Linked DNA regions of Coturnix japonica. The protein of the gene in region 3 purifies or fractionates together with the protein of the main gene of each other region. This does not show direct contact. Links are inferred from orthologs where the notes say so. Each region holds a gene or a part of one and is shown on either strand. Other genes may lie near its edges. The genes, in order: CTBP1, FBXL17 and ZBTB18.

Evidence for each region.
Region 1: the proteins of ZBTB18 (region 3) and CTBP1 purify together in Homo sapiens (affinity purification with mass spectrometry; 3 studies listed by BioGRID and IntAct, counting the BioPlex papers as one, with this or other methods). This does not show direct contact. The link is inferred for Coturnix japonica from reciprocal best matches to the Homo sapiens genes ZBTB18 and CTBP1.
Region 2: the proteins of ZBTB18 (region 3) and FBXL17 purify together in Homo sapiens (co-immunoprecipitation; 3 studies listed by BioGRID and IntAct, with this or other methods). This does not show direct contact. The link is inferred for Coturnix japonica from reciprocal best matches to the Homo sapiens genes ZBTB18 and FBXL17.

Annotation. Positions count from the first base shown.
Region 1 is NC_029519.1:76,830,297-76,837,398, reverse strand, and holds part of CTBP1 (C-terminal-binding protein 1), read right to left. Parts: intron 3,694-7,102; coding exon 3,563-3,693; intron 1,428-3,562; coding exon 1,300-1,427; intron 1-1,299. UniProt on the Homo sapiens protein: Corepressor targeting diverse transcription regulators such as GLIS2 or BCL6. Has dehydrogenase activity. Involved in controlling the equilibrium between tubular and stacked structures in the Golgi complex.
Region 2 is NC_029547.1:42,665,124-42,671,506, forward strand, and holds the end of FBXL17 (F-box/LRR-repeat protein 17), read left to right. Parts: intron 1-3,936; coding exon 3,937-4,074; 3' UTR 4,075-4,382; downstream 4,383-6,383. UniProt on the Homo sapiens protein: Substrate-recognition component of the SCF(FBXL17) E3 ubiquitin ligase complex, a key component of a quality control pathway required to ensure functional dimerization of BTB domain-containing proteins (dimerization quality control, DQC).
Region 3 is NC_029518.1:31,392,617-31,400,218, forward strand, and holds the start of ZBTB18 (zinc finger and BTB domain-containing protein 18), read right to left. Parts: upstream 4,942-7,602; 5' UTR 4,464-4,941; coding exon 4,451-4,463; intron 2,300-4,450; coding exon 717-2,299; 3' UTR 1-716.

The DNA.
Region 1 (7,102 bases), on a different chromosome or scaffold from region 3:
GGCACATATGTCTGGGCTACTGCACCATGTTTAACACAGAACTATCTTTGTGTAGCTGACTCCCGCTCAGTTTTCCTATCTTAGCCCATTAACGCTTATTTGCACATCAATCATCCTCCAAGCAGGTATGGTACGCTGGATTGTGCAATCTTTCCCAAAGCTTTTTGGAAGTATCTAAAGTTATACAACAACCTGATGAGTGCAGTGTTTGAGTACTTTAGGACTATAAGTACAAAGACTAATTACAGCAAAGGGATGACCAGATTCTTTAGGTTACCTCTCAGGGATAAATAGGCCTATGCAGGGCAATTTGGGTCAGGAGTTTCAGAGGTGCCTTTAATCACCATCCACAGAATCCTTTCTGCACAGACTATAAATGAAACAGAGTCATCAAGCCTCTCTAGACACAAGATACAGGACAGGCTACTGCCAGCACTTCTTTGTACAGCAGAGAAACGCACTGGCACTGAACCACTCTCAAGGTGACACAGACAACCCTCCATGTCTGCAGAGCATTCAGCCTATATTGCCAAGGGGAAAACAGCAAAGTCCTACTAAAGAGAGAACATTAGTGCTTAATGAATCATTTTCCAGCATGAAAATCCTGCCTTTTATTTCAGGCTACAAGGGATTCAAACTAAAGCCAAATGGCTTACTCTTCTCATTTTATTTATTAGCAGTGCATATTCAGGACATAACTATTTTTTTCTTCTGTGAATTAGTTCACAATTACATGGTAGTTATTCAACAAAGAGACTGCCCTTTAAAATGACAGACTTCCTCTGGAATGCTTTAAAAAGGGAAACATCTAAAAAGGAGCACCTACTAACAAATATAACAAAACTCAAGGTCAGACTGGAAGAGGCTCTGAGCACCTGAGTTGTAGGTGTCCCTATTCACTGCAGGGGAGTTGGACCAGATGGCCTTCAAGGGTCCCTTCCAACTCAAACGATTCTATGATATTACAATATCATCAATATCTGGATGGTTTATAGCCAAATTCATCACATGGCTGGTACTTACAAGAAACAGGAATGAAAAAGGGATTTTTCACACTGAAGTATGTTCCTGTTATATGGAAAAAACACTACTTTTTCACTTCTTGCCTACTCTTTGTAATTGCAATGATGATCCAACATGATCTGCTTGTGCTGAGAATAGACTCACTTGGTATTTACTGGTTCCCATGTTCCAAATATTAGAAGCAGTAAACAAAGACTAACTTTGGTTCTTTTCAGCATCTTTCAAGACTGTTAAAAGGAAACACAGAGTAAAGGAGATAATAAGGTGAGTCAGTACCTGTGATCGCCCTTCGGATCTCTCGCGCTGCTTCCTCCCGCATCTCAATTGAGGCTTGTTCACTGTACCAGGCTGCATGTGGGGTACAGATCAGGTTTGGTGCATCCTTCAAGGGACCCTGACTAAAGCTAAATGAAGATTTAAAACAAGATCAAATGACAAAACAAATTGGGGGTGGGGGAATAGGGAGATCCAGAGGGATTTGTACATACATTCTACTAAATTCTACAATAGAAAATAATTGCATTTGTATTCCTTGTTGGGCTTGTTTTTAACTCCATCACTGAATTTAATACACTATTCATGGTATTAATCACATCTCATAGACTCAAAGAGTAGAACTTAAGTAGCACTAGTAGCAACATTAGCTTCCGTTCAATGCACTTATTGTTAACTACAGCCACTGTCGTTCCAGTATTCATGCAGAAATGCATTAAGCAAGACCCAGATTAATTCAGGATGCCACTCTGTCCATCCATCACAGTTTTATTACATTAGCTAACAAAGCTTTCTCTCTCAAGAATCACTGTCTATCTGACACTTAGTCATTAAAAATAACGATTATTTGCACATTGATTATCGACATGAGCTTGTCAATCAGCATCCCCAACTTTTTGATGATTCATTTATTTTTTTTTCTATTATTTTAAACTACTTTTTCTTTCCTGTTTTGCATAGAAACTACACAGAAAGAACGAAATTTACTTGACGGATCGATTTTCAAGGAAAGCAATGAATCTACATAATATGCTTTCACAAATACAGAGTAAGAAAACTGAAAATAGTGGGAGCTTGCTCCTCCTACCTATTTTCAGTTTTAATAATCCTCCAGTCAAGTGCAACACCAGTAGAGCTCATATTTTAGACAAAAACGTGCTTTCAGAGTTGGTAATAATTCATAGAACTATAGATTTCATCAGCAGTTTAATAAACAACAGAATATCTGGCAAAGCTCTCAAATAAAGAGTTGCACGCTGCGATCAGATAGACATGCAGCACTGAAGCTGAAGGAAATTGTGGCTGTAATCCTGCAACTGAATCTCTGCAGATGGTATCTCCATGCAGTAAATGGGGCTTCCTATAGGTGCAAAGGTCTGCCTGTGCAGATCCAAGATCTGAACTGGGAAGAATATATATAAGCTGGAGGTCCCTTGAGCTGTTTAGATTTTAGCTTTGCACAGCACTACTGCATTGTAATGTCTACATTTACAAGTAAATGAATGCAGGGTATAAATAAAATGTATTTGTGATATTGCACTGTGTCTCAATAGATATTAAAATTCTACCTAAAAGGATACCATCACTACATTTTTAAAACTTCCAGTATCCCCTGCAAGCTGATACAAGAGAGTCTGTCCTCTCTCCATTCTTCACAACATGCCCTCAAGTCTTTAATCTGTTCCTGTTCAAAAACCTGTGTGGACGGTTCCTGTTAAAATTAATGCTTCTCCCTGCCCAGACTGAGCAAGTGGAAAAGGCTTGTCACATACAAGCACTAAGTTACTGCAGTCTTCTCATAATTCATAAGTCAGGCTCAAGACTCCAGGACAACAAGGCTTGTTTCTCATTAGCAGTGCTGGTACCACAACAGCAGTGCCACCCTGGGCCTATACCACTGGAGATGCTCAGCGGCATTCAGAAAACTAAGGCTAATGCTAGAGCTCTGCTCGTGGCAGAAGAGTTACTTCTCTAGTGCTGAAGAGAAACGGTAACAAATCCAAAGCTGAACTCTAACCACCTTCCTTATCTTTAATTTTTTGTAATCGGGCACGTTTGTGGCTTTCCTGCAGGGGGATTATGGACAGAAACTATGCCTTTTCCACCAGAGCAGCATCAAAGCAGTTGTTTCTCCCACCAAATCTCAACCCTTTGCCTTCTGAAAGACTGTTCAGACGTTAGTTGCCTCCAGTGTTCAGTCAGTGATGAAGCAACACTCCTCTCAAAGTCATGACACAAAGCCATGCCCAGCACTAGAACTTCAGTCTCTGACTGTACTAAATAAACATGTTGGATTTTTAATTCTTTTTTCTAAAGGCATTAAGTCTTGGATGAACTTTTTTTTCCCCACTTCCGACCACATACACAAGCTCCATCTACTTTTGCATTAGTCCAGTGCTGCACAGATTCATGTTGCTTTACTAAGGAGTATTAGGCTACCAAATGAAGGGAAAACTCATTTACTTGTTGCTGTTGATCGTATCATGCACTACGACTTAAAAATAAGAAAGTGAACAAAATAAAAAGAAAAGAAAAGGAAAAGCACCTGAATGGTTCTGACTCATGTACATCTAAGGCTGCCCCTCGTATCCTTCCTTCCTTCAGGGCCTGTGCAAGTGCTTTTTCGTCTACTAACCCACCTCGAGCTGTGTTGACCAGGAAAGCCCCTTGTCTCATCTAGGGAAAGTTAAAAAACAAGAATGATGAAATAAAAATAAATGAAATAAAATCGTTGTGGCATTATTTTTTTTTTACTCAAAAGAAGCATCCATTACAACAAAGGCTATTCAGCTGATTTAACCTGTAACAGTTGTCTTCCCTTTCCATTGGAAAGTACCACAAAATGTGATGCTTCTAACATGAAATGCTATTTCACAGCATTTAATAATCTTTTGTTTCTTTTAAGTAGTGTCTTTTCACAGAGGCGTTGTTTCACATATTGTGCAGTAACATGATCAAAAGATACGACTGTGCATATGAAACTGACAGATCATTTTATGCCTTTTCATTTCACTGTGAAATTGCATGAGACAGAAACTACCGAACATTCTTAAACAAATTCATACCTTGTGGTTTTAAACTTTCACACAAATAAAAGCCTGCATGAATTTTTCAGAAAAGAAATCAATGCTTTTGGATTTTCAAACACATTTCCCTTTAGCTGCCAAAACACAGTAGACCTATGTTTTATTTACTGTTGTTACTTCAGCTTTCTCCTCCTGGTAAGGCTTTTCAGATAAAGGTCTGAAGAATTCTTACATTATTCAATTAAAAGGCATGAAAATGAATTTGGTTGAGAATGCTGCGTGCTTAGGAGAGAAACTGTGCTGTGCATTGTGCAGATTAGCATTGCAGATGACACTATGAGGGGAGAACTACGAGTATTTACACCCCAGTATATCCACAACATGAAAACAAAGTGGAAGTTTAAATAAGAGAGATGGTAAGGAAAAGAAAAAAACTGACATCCTGCTTCCAGCCACCCTAATACTTCATCTTTTATCAGTCATCTCCAACACAGCTTCTGATCTCAGAAGCATTTCAAAGCATGAAGCTTGAGAAGAGCAGGAACCATGGTGAAGATCAGTGATAAAAAACCCGTTTTAAACTGGCTCCATCTCTCCCCATAAGAAGAAAAACCCAACATTTTGACACCACGTCGCCTACTTGAAGCCTACACAACAAACAAAGCTTACAACAATGGATCCACTCTCAGAAAGTGATTCAAAGGGCCAAATGCATGAACAACAAGGAGGTTTGGATGAAAGTCAGCTACAAGAATTACTATTATTTTATATTATTATTATTATTTATATTCAACAATTCACATGCTTACAGTAAAGTTGTAAGAAAGAAAACAGTTTTCTGGCCAGCTCACTAGCTTGAATCATCCCTGCCTCAGGCCATTTGAAGGGCTTACATTTATTGGACCGTATAGCAAAACCAAAGTCCATTTACTGTGGAATTAAGGGACACTTCTAGTCTCTGAATCTCCACTATGCAAGAGAAGTAGATTAGAACTAGCACAATAGGGCTCACCCAGGCAGCAATCACAGCCATGTCAAGTGGGCTTATGAGGGCTTATAGACTTCCTAGTTCTGTGTTCTTGCAAACGTAAGGGACAATTTGATGTTTAAGTATAGCCCAGTGCATTTATCCGTCCTTTGAAGAACTTGAAAACTTTCAGCAAATCTTACCAACATCTTCTGTCTGTCCATAATAAACCTTTTTTTTTTTTTTACCTTCAAGATTATTTGCAAAACTTTCAAGCTAGTACTAAGACAAGCCCAAATCAAACAGAACACAGACACATAAACGCATTCTAATGGAGAATAATTCTGTGAGTCGTGATGAACTACAAGGGTGGATGCAGCTGGAGATGACCCCATATAACGGGTGGAAGCTTGAAAGACTGCCACAGCACCGCTTACAGCTGTTAGCATTCACCTACATTAAACCTGCACAGCTGCTTTACAAGTGTATTCACACAACTGCAGAATCACCTTCTCACATCAGATTCTAAACGATTCAGGGTGGGACTTCACGAGGACTCACCATACGCCTCCACACTGTTTAAAAACTGGCTATCACATAAATGTGCAATGCTGAACAAAAGAGGAATGCAATGGGATCTAGAATTTTTTTAGGGCAACTCTAGCATCTGGCAGACTGAAAATGCTCTTCTGTTCTTGCCACTTGAAATTCAGAAGATCTGGTGTATGTAAGCGATCAATCATGAACAGAGGTATTAAGGTTTTCTGGTTTTCAGATATGGGTAACCTTCCCATCAGCTGCTACAAAACTGACTGCTTCATCCAAACTTTTACCCAAAGCAAAAATTGCCTTGTAACACTTAACACTTTCACTTTGCTCCTAAATAAAAGGATATCGAGATAAATACCTACAATATCCTTTCCAGTCCCGGTTTTATTGTATGCAATTCATTTCACATGGATCACTCACTGTTAAGCTGTTCTGTTTGCTTCTCTCGTTAATACACTGAGCACCCTCCAGAGCTCAGCCCATTTAAGCTCTGCTTAAAATCTCCCAGACTGATAGACTGGTTAAAGCTTCGGAGGCCACTGTATGAGTGACCATTGCTAAGTCTCAACATAGCCCCACTGTGCTAAGTCTCTACATAGCCCCACTGAACTCAGTGTGGTTTCATTTGGGTTCAAATTTCTGGACATCTGACCATATAAAAATGTTGTGTCTGCACACTCAACAAAGGAGAATGGCCAGAACAGGTGAGCTCAGTTCTCTTAGCAATCTGAATTCCATTATTTTTAAGTTTTAAACCCCAACCCCAGGTTTTACACCGGGATGGATCTGCAAAATCTCACAACTCTCTGATCAAGACGTACATTATATCATCAGATGTGTAGTGTGTTAATTGTTTTGGTTCACCTGAAGCTCAAGAGCAACAGGTATAAAGTATTTCTCAGACAAGAAGCAGGATTTTTTCTGCAAAAGAATGCTCCTGTCATTGTAACCAATACGTAGATAATACAGCACGTACAAGAAACATAAAAATACAGAAGCAATCACAACACTGTCAGAATTTCTTCCTGTATGCTATCTACAATCTAAAATCTCAGTGTTTTATTTCCTACTGTTACCTACACTGAGGCAAAATGTTTAATAGAAAAGCCTACAACTGAATTAGTTACTACACGCCTAAATTCCAAAGTGATTTCCATATTGTCTAAAAGCTTTAGGGAGAGGTTTTCATTCAAACAAGCATGATTTTCCCAAAGAATGCAATGCTGGCAATGAGATCCACTCAAGAAGCACCCTGCAAGCCTCAGCGCTGAACACTGGGGGGCGGCATTTAGTCACAATCCCTCGGTGATGCTGAAGATCAAAACCCAAGGGACAAGAAGAAAAGGCAGAACTACCTGCGAGTACAGGCACAGGAGGCAGCTACCAGAAGACACAGAATAAGAGTGTAAACACAACTTAATCAGCTCTGAGCAACATGTAGAAGAGCAGGTTATTTCCAAAAGTGCAACGTTACTGAAGAAAACTGACAAGAAAAGCGATGATATGTAAGGCATCAGCTACTTTCCTATTAGTTATAAACCTA
Region 2 (6,383 bases), on a different chromosome or scaffold from region 3:
AATGTTTGAGCCTCCAGGCTTAGTCAGGATTCTGACAAACTTGCATATAGTGTTCTTTCTGTTCCTTTGTGAGCATTTGTGGGATCCATCTGCCACAAAACTTGCAATATTCCAGCATTGCCACCACTGTTTCCAATTTATTGAAGCCTATATTCACGTCTCCACATACTTGTCCAGTCAAAATCTCAATGGGTGAGCTTATCAAGACTCTCTTCATTTTGTGCTACACTGTCACTGCTGAAACACACCACCCACCAACTCACTGCACTCATATTCACTGTTTGGCTCCATAAATGTTCAGCAAGTGTTGATGAATGTCAGTGGGTGCCATTTTTTCCACAAGGAGGAGCTCAATGACACACAATTGCTTTACACACATTTCCATACCAGATGCCATTTTGTTAGGCTGCCCCTCTGCTGCCATCTGTCACACAGCAACAACATGTAATGGAATACTGTTGGAGTTCAGCCTCCAGTGCTGTACCACCAACATCTGCCTCTGATGCTGTGGGCCAACAGAATAAAACAGGAGACGTTACTTTCAGGGCAGCCTTTGTATATTTGATTATTTATGATGAAGTTTGGGAGAAGAACTTCTTCTATCATGAGAGTCAGTTTTTTAAACTTCAGGTAGTTTCGTTCTGTGGCAGTTATGTTTTCAAGTGTATACATAGGATTTCGTTATGGTTTAACCTGGCAGGCATCTCACTACTACACAGCCTCTCACTTGCTTACCCCAAATGGGAAGGGGAAAGAACCAGACATGTACAAGTGCAAGAATTTATGGGTTGAGATAAGGACACCTACTATGTTAAGCCAATGCTGCAAGCAAGTCAAAACAAGACATTACTCTGCTACTTTCCATCATCAGGCAGGTGTTCAGCCTCTTCCCCACCAGCAGGACTCATTATGTGTAATGATTTCTTGGGAAGACAAACAACATCACATTTTCCCCCTTCCCTCTTCTTTACCTCAGCTTTTATTTCTGAGCAGGATACCACATGATGTGGAATATCCCTTCTGTCTCCTCCCAGCTCCTTAGGCATCCCCAGCCCCTCACTGGCAAGACAGCACAATAAGCTGAAACCTTCTTTGCTCTGGGCAGCACTGCTCTATGACAGCTAAAACATTCGTGTGTGTTCAACACTGTTTCCATCAAAAATCTAAAACACGGTGCCATACATCCTCTTTGAGGAAAATTAACGCTATCTAAGCTAAAACAGATGACAAAATTATGGTTTGGTACTACTTAGTGTTGCCTGGGATCAAAAGATTTAAAATGACACTGTAACAAAAACAGGGAAACCCGACTGTTCAGGTTTTGTTCATAAAATATCTGACCTTGTTGTAAAGTCACTTCTGCAGTGGTTTTGCCTGTTCTCTCATGCTTATATTTACTTTTAACTGTGTTTGTCACTCGATATCAGAAGTAGTAATTAGTAATAATTGTATTATGTATTATTTATACTGCAGTAATTTATTTAAAAAAATAAAATGACCAATGGCTAGCACTAAATGGTTTACCATAGATTTCTTCATAGATTTTAAGACCAAAAGATACTACTGTAACATCATCTGTCTTCCTTATTATTCTGGGCCACGCTATTTCACTTAAGTTAGCCTTGCAGTAAATCAGTTACTTTAATGTAGCTGGAGTTTTGCTTCTGTAAATGTGTTCAGTCTTTGGATAGAAAACCCCAAGTATGGAGGATGTATGGCTTTCTCTGATCACAGCCTCTTGTCCTGTATTTGAACATCCTCTTTGTAACAAATTTGTATTATTTGTTTCCCATAACAGAAAATCTGATTATAATATTGCACCAATTTGCTCTCTCAAACCATAATATCCATGCTGTACTAACAAATAACATCTAACAGGTTTGTGTCAAAGAATAATAGCCTCTATCTGCTGTTAATATTTTTAAAATATTGAATGGATTGATGGTATTTCTTCTCCAAGTTTCCGATGAGGAAGGAGTAGCAGGGGTATCTTCATTCTGGCTGATTTACCGCAAAGAGAAGTTACTTGTAATGTTATAGATTTTGCCATGGCTGTGCACCACAAATGTAAAGAAAAGAGGCTTTTGGACTATTTTTGAATAGGCAAATAGTAGCAAATATGGCTTCGGAAATTCTTCCCTTCCAAGCAATATTTCTGTGAAGTGCTGCTGACAGTTTGAAAGTATGTATGTATTCAGCTATAAATATCAAATATTTTGGAGGACTTGTGCTATGTCTGATTTCATTTTGATTTATTAAAAGTCACTTCTTGTTTATCAGCACTGGAAGAGGTTACTGTTATGTAGTAATTTGCCAAAAGAGTACAGTGTGTACTATGAAAGGAAGTTAAACCGGTTTTCTATCCAAGTCAGTCTCAGCTAGATGAAACTTCCAATGAAGATTGAGTGTTTCTATTATGAAAGTAGAAGAACTGGATATTAAACCTTTCATTTATCCCCGTCATTGTGAGCAATCACTGCTTAGAAGGATGCACTCCTTGTTATCTTTTAAGGACAAAAAGTATTATTAGATATCGTGGTCACTGTGCTTTAAAATATTATTCACAAGATGGATCTTTGTAAGGATAGTAAATATTTCAGTACTTTTTTTTTTTTCTTTTTTTCTTTTCTTTTTTTTTTTTTTGGTTTTGTGGGACACTGTGGGGAGAAAGCAAGTCACGATATCTGTTGTACATGCTACTGATCTAGGCAATTCAGCGCTTAAATATAGCACTGGCATATTTTAAACTGTCCAAGTATTTTAGCAAGGATTTTAAAGAGAGCTGCATAGGAGTTATGGTTCTTCAGTTAATCTTTCATTTATCTGAAGGCTGAAGGAAGCTGTCTGCTTTTGTGATATGAACTGCAATCAGCTTAAAAATAATTGACAAATTAATCCTTTCACAGAGCTGCAATTGTAAAGGTGTTAGATTTAGCTTGGCTTGTCTGACTGCCCTGTCTAATCAAGAAAAAAGGTGCTATCTTTGATGTTTAAGATTTAGAAGGGACATCCCTGACCTAACAAGCTAGTATATTTTAATTATCGATCCCCTCATTTCTGCCCACAAAAGCCTTTGTTCATTGATAGCCTCACACCAAAAGACTAAAACAAAAATTTCTGACTGGGAGGTACATGAAGACAAGCAGGTACTGGAACATTGGGAAAAATTAACCTGTATTACCAATTTATATACCTACAATATAAAACAGATTGCATTCTACTCTTCTAGTTATTATCTCTTAATTATCATTGTGGTCATGTTGAAAGCCACCATACAGTGGAACTTAATTTCAGGGCTAATTCCTGCATAGCATGTATAAAAGTAACAAAAATGTACCATAAATTAATTGAAAAAATTGAATCAATTTCCATTTCCAAAGCCAAGAGAAATTTCAAACCCATGTCTGCTTAAGTATTGTTAAAGTAGTGTGTTTCTATTTCAAGACAAAGGAAGAAATATATGCAGTGTGCTCTTAAAGAAGACTGCCTGTCTATGAATAATTATGTTTTGTACAGTAGGAGTGGCCAGTTTGTTTATGTATGGAATTTAAATAGTTCAGCATATTGTTAAACACTGTTGCAGTTTTCTAACTAAGCTTTTTACAAATGGAGATGCTTCATCTTTCTTTGCTTTTTCACTTTCAATTGAAAATAATCAAACAGTGTGTACTAGAATGCTGTATCAAAATTCTCCCTTTAAGATGGAGTCGAGCTGTTCATTATGTAGGTTTGTTGTGGGTTATTTTTTGTTTTGTGTTTTTCTCTAAAAGAGGATCAAATTCTGAATATTTTTGATAAATGAAGCCTACTGTGTCAATAGACAGCCCAATTCTGCTAGTCCTTCCAGGAGTCCAGTTTGATTATTTATTTAGTTTGAATAACGTTGCCCTTTTTGTTCACTTTTTTCACATTTTGGATTCTTTTCTTCAATTGCAGGTGAATGAAGCCACAGTAGAGCAGCTGGTGCAGCAGTACCCACATATAACCTTTAGTACTGTTCTACAGGATTGCAAGAGGACATTGGAACGAGCTTATCAAATGGGCTGGACTCCCAATATGTCTACTACCCCTTAACGTCATGCACCAACATGACAGTTCCACTCTGCTGCTTTCGGTAGATCGAATGGGGACTGCACAGGTTCACAGCCTTTCATTGTGATATATACAATGAATGCAATATAATTGTTAGTTTACAGAGGTTACAGTAAAATGGAAAAAAGCTGTATACTGACTTTGATGTACTGTATAACTAAGTCCTGGTATTGAGACAAAATTTTAGAAAAGCATCCTATTTCTTTGTTTGCATAAAATAAATGACTGATTTCTTGAAGTGGATTCCTATAGTTCTATGGATAGTGTGGGTTATAAAAGATACAAAGCTCTTTTTTTTTTATGTGTGTTTACTTTGCCTTGGTTGTGTGTATTTCCTTTGATTTGTAGATGGTAACTCAGTGCTAGCACCGGTATAGCTGATCAGCAGATGCCTGTGCTGAAACTGGGAGCTACACTCCATGCTTATTATTTACTAAAGTTACCCTAGGAGTTTTAAGATGCGCAGCGTATAAGAAAAAGTACAAAGATCTGTGATTGTCTTATAGACTTTTGGGGAATTACACAAGTCATCGGTAAACGATTATAATGACTGAATAGCTATCTAATGGACAATCATATAATCATCAAGTCCTAGAACAGTTTGGGTTGGAAGGAACCTGAAAGATCATCTCATTCCAATCCCCCTCCTGCGAATAGGTTGCTCAAACCCCTTCTAATGTGGTCTTGAATACTTTCAGGGATGAGGCATCCACAGCTTCTGGGCAACCTGTCCCAGTGTCTCATCACCTGCTAAGAAAATAATTTCTTCCTAACATCTAATATAAATCCACTCTCTTTCATTTTAAAATCATTCTCCTCAGTCCTATCATGACTTTTGACTTTGATGCAGAGTACCCATCTTTCCCATCAGTCCCCTTTACATACTGGAAGGCAGCTGTAACATCTCCCCAGAGCATTCTCTTCTGCAGGCTGAATAAGTCCAACTCCCTCCATCTTTATCACTTCACAGAAGTTGTGTCTTCTTTTATTTTGTTTGTTTAAAATGGTCGTTTAGGAGATATTCTGCAGATTTAGAAATCTTTTCACATTACAGGTTTTGCAGTAAGTGAGTAAACAGTGGTTGAACTCATACTCACAACCAGTTCCCGCTACATAACCAGTCAAGCAGGAAGTGAATACACCAACAATCAGAAATAAATTAAGGGACAGTTGTCATGGAGTTATCTAGATCAATCTATGTCCATGACAGGGGGGCAGTAGGCCTGTGGGTCCCCCATCCCTCAACAAATGGGAAGGGAAAAAGGAAAAAGGGGTAGGGAGATGGGAGCTGGGCTCATGGAAACAAACAGAGCAGCAGCATCGATCTAAGGAGGAAAACTTATTTTACTAATTATGATATTGGAATACAAGATAACAATATAATACAATCTGATTTAAAATGAGGCTAATAAATCAAGTAAAATAAGAGAAAGAGAGAGGTTTCCAAAGACTGAGAAGCCTACTTTGAAATTGAAGGCGCCATGGCTTGGAAACACACCCACACCCACTGCCAGGCAGTGAGAGAAATAGCCAGCATCACTTTGTGACGTGTTTCCCTCTCTGACCTTGAGGTCCTCTGAGACATGTAGTTCTTCTCTGTATTCCACATGATGTTATGATATGGAATACCAATAGCAAAAATTACACAACCATGACATTCCACCCATTATTCAACATCACTACATCATGCTTAAAATACATATATATATATACAAATAAACAAGAATTAAAATGCATTACACACACAGGTCTATATACATATATACATGGAATTACTAACTGCACTCCCCCAGCATCGAATTCCCTTGTGGTACGCACTGAACATCCCCATCTTTCTGCATCACCCACCAAGTGCACCCAGATCTCTGGGCAAAAACAGTTCCACAGAGAGGTTTGCCCTTTCCAGAGGCTGGAAGGACCCAAACAGCTTTTCCCAACATGTTCTTTACATGTACTACAGGGACCTTATCTCCCTCTACAGTATGCAGGGGCTGGATTGGCTAGGACCATCACAACTGACTGATCCTCTAGTACTGACCAACCAAGTGGCTTCTGACAAATGCTTCTCCCAGTGCTTAAATGTTCCACCACCCTTTGCTTTCAACATAGTTTTCAACAACCCACTGTATCATTCAATTTTACCTGAAGCTGGTGCATGGTAGGGAATATGATAAATCCACTCAATGCCATGATCTTTGGCCCAAGTATTTACAAGGGAATTTTTGAAATGTGTTCCATTATCAGACTCAATTCTTTCTGGGGTGCCATGTCTCCACAGGACTTGTTTCTCA
Region 3 (7,602 bases):
TGATCCCAGTGTACTCTCAGGGTTTTTGTTTTGTGGTTTTTGTTGTTGGTTGGTTGTTTTTTTTTTGCTTTTTTTTTTTTTGTTGGTTTTTTTTTGTTTGTTTTGTTGATTTTTTTGTTGTTTTTTTTTTTGTGTTTTTATTTTATTTTTATTTTTTCCAGTGGGAACTGTCAGAAATCCAGAAGTTGCCATAATAAGTTTTAAGTCAACCGCTTGTTTAAAAATAGATAATCCAGCATTTCAGAAATTTTCCATTTGGGTCTAAAAGCATTCAGGTTTCCAACAGCTAGAAAGGACTCATGCAATTAGAAAATAATGAAAAAAAATAAATGTAAAGGATCTGATACAATTGGGGATAGGATTTCTACATTCAGATTTTGAAAGGAAAATTATCTAGAGCTCAAAATAACGCAGCGTTTTGGGGAGAACAAAGCCATGTCAACATTTTCAAATTGGAGATTCTTTAAAATTAAAGTATCTGCTGGCTTCTAGTCCAAAAAAGGGGGGAAAAAAATACGCTCCGATGCTTATTACTTCACCACGTTACCTCTAAAGTTCCGTTTTATCAGAGTGCTAAATTAGTGAAATATTCATGCTGCCTTAAAGTGCAAAAACAAGCTAATAGCCAAACTTTCAGTTCAAGGAAACAAGATTGCTTTTAGACTGTACCACAACTATATAGATTTATATATATATTATTTATATATATAAAAATTTTATTTCCAAAGTTCTTGTGAGCTATCTTCTAAGGTCCAGTCTCTGACAGTAGGTAAGCTCAGTGCTTCGCTTTTGACAGACAATGAGTTCACTAACTCACAGTGAAACTTCCGAATGTGTCTGTAAAGGTCTCCGGACTGCGTGAACCTGCGCTCACACCACTTACAAGCGTGTGGCTTCTCCCGCGTGTGAACCACTGCGTGGCGGCTCAGGTTGTGGGAGTACTGGAAGCTCTTCCCACACTGGGTGCAAGTGTAGGGCTTTTCACCTGAATGAGTCCTCTCATGACGTTTCAAGGTGTACATGCAAGAAAAAGTCTTACCACACAGTGAGCAGGTGGGGACATTGACATCGGTAGCAGGCTTGCTGCGGATCCCGTCCTGCTCTCGAAAGTGCGTGCTTAAATGGATCTGCAGAATGTGGGGACTAGGAAAGACTTTGTTGCACAGAGGACACATAAAAATTTGGCCAGCGGGGCTAAGTATGTTTGACACGTAAGGGAGCAAGCTGCTGTCCATGTTTCCTTCCACCTGGACTCGCTCGTTCTCTGGAGTTATCATTTCGTCATCACTTGCCTTGTCCTCTCTATCTAGCTCCCTCAAGACTGAATCTTCCCTCATCGGAGCCAGATGGGCCGGCTCGTACGGTACCCTGTTATTAGTGCTCACACTTTCTTTCACAGTGCTATGTTCCATATCATAGTCATTAGTGCCAACATCACTCTCATCACAGGAAGCCTCTTTCTCCACCTTCACCTGAACCAGGCTGCTTCTAAGCATGTCCTGCGAAGAGAAATAAGAACTGTTCAAATTTTCAACTCCTGAAAGGCTGGACTTGACAGACAGGTCCAGCACGCAGTCAACATCTGCTGAATCCCTCACGGAGGTGACAGACCTCTGGGACAAAGACTCTGTTGAACTGCAGGGGCTGGCTACTGTTTTTCCAGCTGCTGTTGCGTGTGTCTCTGCCTCTCCGCCAGTCTGGGGAATGCCTGCTGAGTCTGAGGGCAATCTCATCCACATGTTCCCAGGCTCGGCCGCCAAGTCTCTTTTGCTAGGCAGGATGTTCAATTTTTCATCTTCTCCTTCGTCTTCATCACTGGGCAAGTCTCCTGGCATGTGGCTGCTGCCGTCGGAGAGGCTTTCCACTTTGTCTGAACAACTTGAGGCGTCTTCCTCTTTTTTTGTACTGTCTGCCTCCGTGGTTGCTTTCTCTTTCAGCTTCTTTTTGCAGACTTTGACAATGTCATACATGTGGAGATAACTGGCAGCTGCTAGCACGTCTTCAATGGGCAAGTCTTTGAACTGGAGTTTTCCTTCGTACATGAATTCAAGCAGGAGAGCGAAAGCTGGGGCTGTAACAATGTCGCTGTTCAGATGAACAATGTCTCTTTTGTCCAGCTGGTCCTTGTAAAAGAGGTGGAAATACATGCTGCATGAAGCCAGTACAGCTCTGTGCGCTCGGAACTGGGCATCTCCTACCAGAACAGTGCAATCACAAAGAAAACCCTGATGTCTCTGCTCGCTCAGACACTGTAGCAAATGTCTACTGTGGTCAGGAAACTCCATGCTGTCTTCATAACCTATAAAGTAATAAGATTTTTCAAAATTACACGCGGATTCAGAACAACAGAACTTATGAGCCCAAGTTATTCCACTCTGAAAGCCCAGCGTTTCTACTGCCAGAATCCTGACACCGCCACTACGCGAGGATTATTTAACGCGTACACACAATGGCCTCTCTTTCCCCAATCAACCACTGAAGTTCTGCTTTCCCCTCGCCCCTAAGTAAGCCATTCTAATAAGCGCTTAGCTACATTTCTACCACCACTGTTCACAAAATCTGTTCAACAGTTATTTTCTTCTTTCTCAAGGACCTTCCTCCAGATTGCGACCCTAGCAGAACTGGAAAAAAAAAAAAAAAGTATTTTCTTTTTCAAACACTAAGTTTGAGAGATCGCAGAGGGAAAAGATAATAGCAATATTAATAATAAAACAAAACAGATGATCGACATCCTTTTTAAAGCTAACCTGTAATAACAGGAGAGTTTTGTGCATGAAGAAATGCTAACTGCCCAAACCTAAAGGTCTAGCATTCATAAGGAATAGGAACTGACAGGAGTAAAGAATTTTTACTTGAGAGGAATACCAAGCTTTTTTAGAAACCTAGCCTGCACTGCCTTCTCCTCCTGGTAGGTATAGTTTCAGGTTTGGAACATTCTCCACACTGTACATGAGAAAACAAGATGCTTTTTTGCTAAGGTGCAGAATTTGCAAAAGGAAAAGAAAACTGTCAGCTAAAATGCCATTGAGCACTGCTTCCCCTGTGCAGAAGGACAGAAATTTCCCTCCCCTCCCACACCACAGAGTTTGCAGTACCAAACTTAAAAAAAAAAAAAAAAAAAAGCCATTCAACGTGAGCGTGTGTGCACACTTAAAATGAGTATCCTGAGTGCTGTGCTTACCCAAGTCTTTTTTCTATTCACCCTCTCTGATGATACAAAAAAACAAAAAACAAAACAAAACAAAAGAACACACAAAAAAAATCAAGCAACTAAACTTCAGAGAAGTAGAGAAGTCAGAATTCAAACAGAAAGTAAAATCTCCTAAAACCCCTGTCTCAACCTATTCTTCTGTGACTGCTGGCAATGCTCTTCCAAACCATCCAAACAGACCGTGGCTCTCTGGGCTGGCAGATATTGCTGAAAAATGCCCATCCCCGGCAAAGCGAGATGTGCTGAAACTCACAGCACAACCCTGGCTATATTCTGTAAAATACCACCGCTAGAGTAAAGCACGAAGATTTACAATACAATCACTTTAAGTGCCCCACAGCCAACATCAATCCTAATCCTTAAGAGGGCTAAAAATAAAGATTGGAGGGCAGCTCACAAGGTAGCTGTGATCAAATTAGGAGGCTGAAAGGACAGAGAGGGACGAAGAAGGAAGCTTATAAACATCTGATCCAGCTGACTGTGGCCATATGGCAGCTGCTGCCCAGATAAAGAGATTAAGAATAGAGGAGTGCGATTACAGCTGTCTGGCCAATTCAGGCAGCTCAAATCTACAAGTTCTAAATTAGTCGCAAATACAAAAACTCCTTCAAATAATTATTGTTATGCAGGAATAAAAGATTGCAAATGCTACAGGCGAGAAAGAAAAGACGAAACCAGTCAGGCTATTCTCCCAGGTACAAAAGTTTCTAAACACATAAGTGATTTCTATCTTTCAAAAGCACTCCAGCTGTATGCTCCCACAGTTCCGGGCTGCTGGCTATTTAACCACCAAGCACAGTGAGAGCCTTCACAACAAACACGGTTCAGCCAGAACGGTTCTTTTTAAAAGCACGCTCGTGTCTATTTCACCAAAAATCCCCATCAAGTCAACCTAAAGATGCAGCACAAAAGCATAAAGCAGGACTCTCGTTAGCTCGCCTCCGAATGCATTTCAGTTTTGGTCTCAGAAATTGAGAACAAAGTTGCTCTCATCACATCCTAAAGCCAGAAATTTTCTTCTCACGATACGCATTAAAGTTAATTCTATCCATGTGCATCAAACCGATACTCTCAAACTGCAGCCCCAGCCTTTTTGACCAAGTCCACTTATCTGCTTAATACTCAATTTCATATATTACCTCCAAACTTGGTTAGAAAAGTAATGTGATTTTTCCTGAAATTCAATAAACAACACACCAAAACAGAAAGATGCTGTATCTAATCTATTGCTACTCCTACCTTTAGTACACATAAACCTGATTAAGTCCTTTCCTCTGAGTCTCGCTGGCTCCAGGTCTGTTAGATCGGTGGAAAAAAAGCAGACTGGGAGAGACAGATGCAAAGTGGAGATGATGTTAGAGAGGAATGAGATACCTTCTCCACACACAGATCTGCACACACTAACTCCCTGTCTGTGTGTTAGAATAAAAGGCTGAGGGATGGCAGGCTGTCAGCTGCTCTGACATCATGTTCAGATGGAAATGCTACCTCCAGCTGTGCTCCTTTTAATGCCATATGCTACTCCTCTACACTCCTGCCACCAGCTTTTTCTTAGGAGAACTTTTCTCTTCTGTTAGTATAAACAAAATACTTCAAAGTCTCTCTTTTTTTTTTTTTCCCCAAACTTTCGAACAGGGGGGAAGAAAAAAATAAAAAATAAATAAAGAAGAAAATCCTCAACATATGGGGCTCCGCCGCGCTCGCGGCACACCGACACTTCTGCCTCAACTTGGAGGGCTGCTCCGCCCGCCGACAGCGCGCACAGCCCCGGCTCGCCGACCCCGCACCGCTCCGCGGAACCGCCGCTCCGCGCTGCCGGCCCCGGTGCCGTGCCCGCGCCGCCGCCTCCCCTCCCGTCCCCTCCCGGTTCGCGCCCCTTGCCGCCGGCCCCGGCCCTCCCCGCAACTTCCCGGGACCGCGGGCGCGACCCCGCGTGCCGTGCCCCGCATCCCGGTCGGGCGGCGGCAACTTTTGGCCGCGAGCGCCGCCGCCCCCCGCGGCGCGGGGCCCGACCCGCCGGCGGCCCCGCGGGCAGGAAGCGGCCGCCCGGCGCGCAGGAAAGCCGCCCCCGGGCCGACAAGGCAACAAAAGGAAAGTGACCGGCAGCGCCGCCGGCCCCGCCGCCCCCCGGGCCCCGCCCGCCCCGGCCCGGCGCCGCGCGGGGACGAGAGCGGGACTCACACTCGCGGCGGCCCGAAGTCCCCGCGCCGCCGCCGTCTCCCGTGGGCCGCTCCGCTCCGCTCCGCGCCGCTCCCCCGCCCGCGGGCCGCCGCCCCCCGAGCCCCCCCCCCTGCCGTCAGCTGAGGAGCGAGCGGGGCAGCCGGCGGCGCTCAGCGGGCCCCGCGCTCAGCGGCTCCCCATGGCACCGACGGCCGGAGGCGGCGCGGAGCCCGGGGCCGGCCGCGGGGGAGGGGCGGGGGGCGGGCGGGGGCCGGGCGCACGCGGCTCGGGCGCGCGGCGGCGGCGGCACAGCCGGGCCCGGCTGCGGCAGACAGATGTTCCCCTCCTCCCGCCCCGCTCCCCACTTCGGACTCCGCTCCCTGACTGACAGCGCGACCCGCCCGCGCCGCCGCCGCCGCCAACCGGCGCGGAGCCCCAACGATGAGTGACGGGCGGTGCCGGGCGCTGAGTGGAGGAGGGAGGCCCGGGAAGGCAGAGCGCTCCGCCAATCGGAACGCGCGGCGAGGCGAGGGGGCGTGAACCGGCGGGGAGCGGAGGCGGAAGGGGGCGGGGCCACACCGGGCCCGGGGAGGGGGCGGGGCCTCGCCTGAGGAGAGCGACGACGGGGCGGCGCCGTCCAGGGGGCGCGGTGCTCGCGGGAGGGAGTGAGAGGGTCCGGGCCTCGAGTGGGCTGTGGGGAGAGCGGGAGTGGGGGGCGGTGGAGCTGCCGTGTGTGCCTCGTGCACAGGGCGAGCCGGGCCGAGCCGAGCCGAGCCGAGCCGAGCCGAGCGGAGCTTGTCCCGCGTTGTCAGCCGTGAGGCAGTTCGCCCCGGGCTGGCCCCGCTCCGTGCCTCTGGCCGGGACACCTGTGCTGGGCTGGGGGCGTACGCTTCAAAATGGCGGCTGTGGGGGTGCGTCCCCGAGGGCTGCCCTCATCAGAACCTGCCTTTGCACCATCGGTGCCAGCCTGGTGTGGGCAGCTGAGCAGGGCCCTCAGAAGGACGCTCCTGGAGTCACCCAAAAGCTGTTCATGACAGAGAGTGGTGGTTGTGCACTTGCTCACCTCTAGCGAAGGATTACCCTGGAGGCTTGTTCACCTCCATTAAAAGATCACTGACATCTCGGCTGCTGTATGTTGCGTGTAACTTCAGTGCCTCCTCTCAAGGCAGCATTGCCTTCATTGAGGCTGTGCTGGGGTGCCCTGAGCTAGAGGCTGGCAGTAGTTCCCCAGGGCTTAGCATGCTGTGTGAGGGAGGGCTGGGGGCAGTGGCTCTGGGGTAGGAGAGGGCAGTGGAGGCTGGGTTCCATCAGCAGAGGCCTTCCTTAGGAATAGATCCATCTAAGGAGATGGTATTTCCCCACCTGCCCTGCTGCTTAAGATATGAAGTTAGTGTGGGCGAGGTTTATGAAGAAATTAAGGATCACCAGCAGAGACAGAGCTAAAAGAAAAGAGGGTTGTGTGTTAATGTCCAAAATTGACTTAGTGGATACGAAAACGGAAGGCGTGTATGTCGTCTCTTTCAATATGAAACTACTATAAAGAAGTACACTGAATTCTAGCTGTGCCTAATTCATTTGACAGCACTGCTATGTATATCACACAGCAGCCAGCATCCGCATGTCCATATGCTTCAAGTATAACATATTAAAAAACCCACCAAACCTGCCAGTACGAAAGAAGATGCTTTTCTCTCTGTATTTTGGGAAACTAACCTCTAGTGCAGTCCTGGTGTGGGTGTTTAAAGTTATTATCTCAGGGTGTTTCAGTTCATCTTGGGTGGTGGTACAATTCCTTATATAAGATAGAGAGTTCTGTGCTGTTTTTTTTTCTGTTGATAACATGTTCCATATTAAATAATACTTTGAGCTCAGCGAGGTTTTGTCCTTGTGTTCAAGACACAGCAGTGAGATGCTGACTCCTCATGTTTCCCCGATCGTCTCCCGGTGCTAATAATCACATCATCTGGGACAGATCAGCACTCCGTTCCCTGCTGCCTGCCGTTCCTTGTGCATAGAATCTTAGAATCATAGAATTACTCAGGTTGGCAAAGACCTCAAAGATCATCAAGTCCAACCATAGCCTAACCATAGTGACCTAACTCTAACAGCCCTCGGCTAAATCACATCTTTCCTACAACTGCAAAGCTGCTTTTTCTTTAAACTGCAAAAAAACAAATTTTTGTAGGTATTGTGTCAAGAAATATCATTGAAAATAGTTGTGAAGTTTTTAA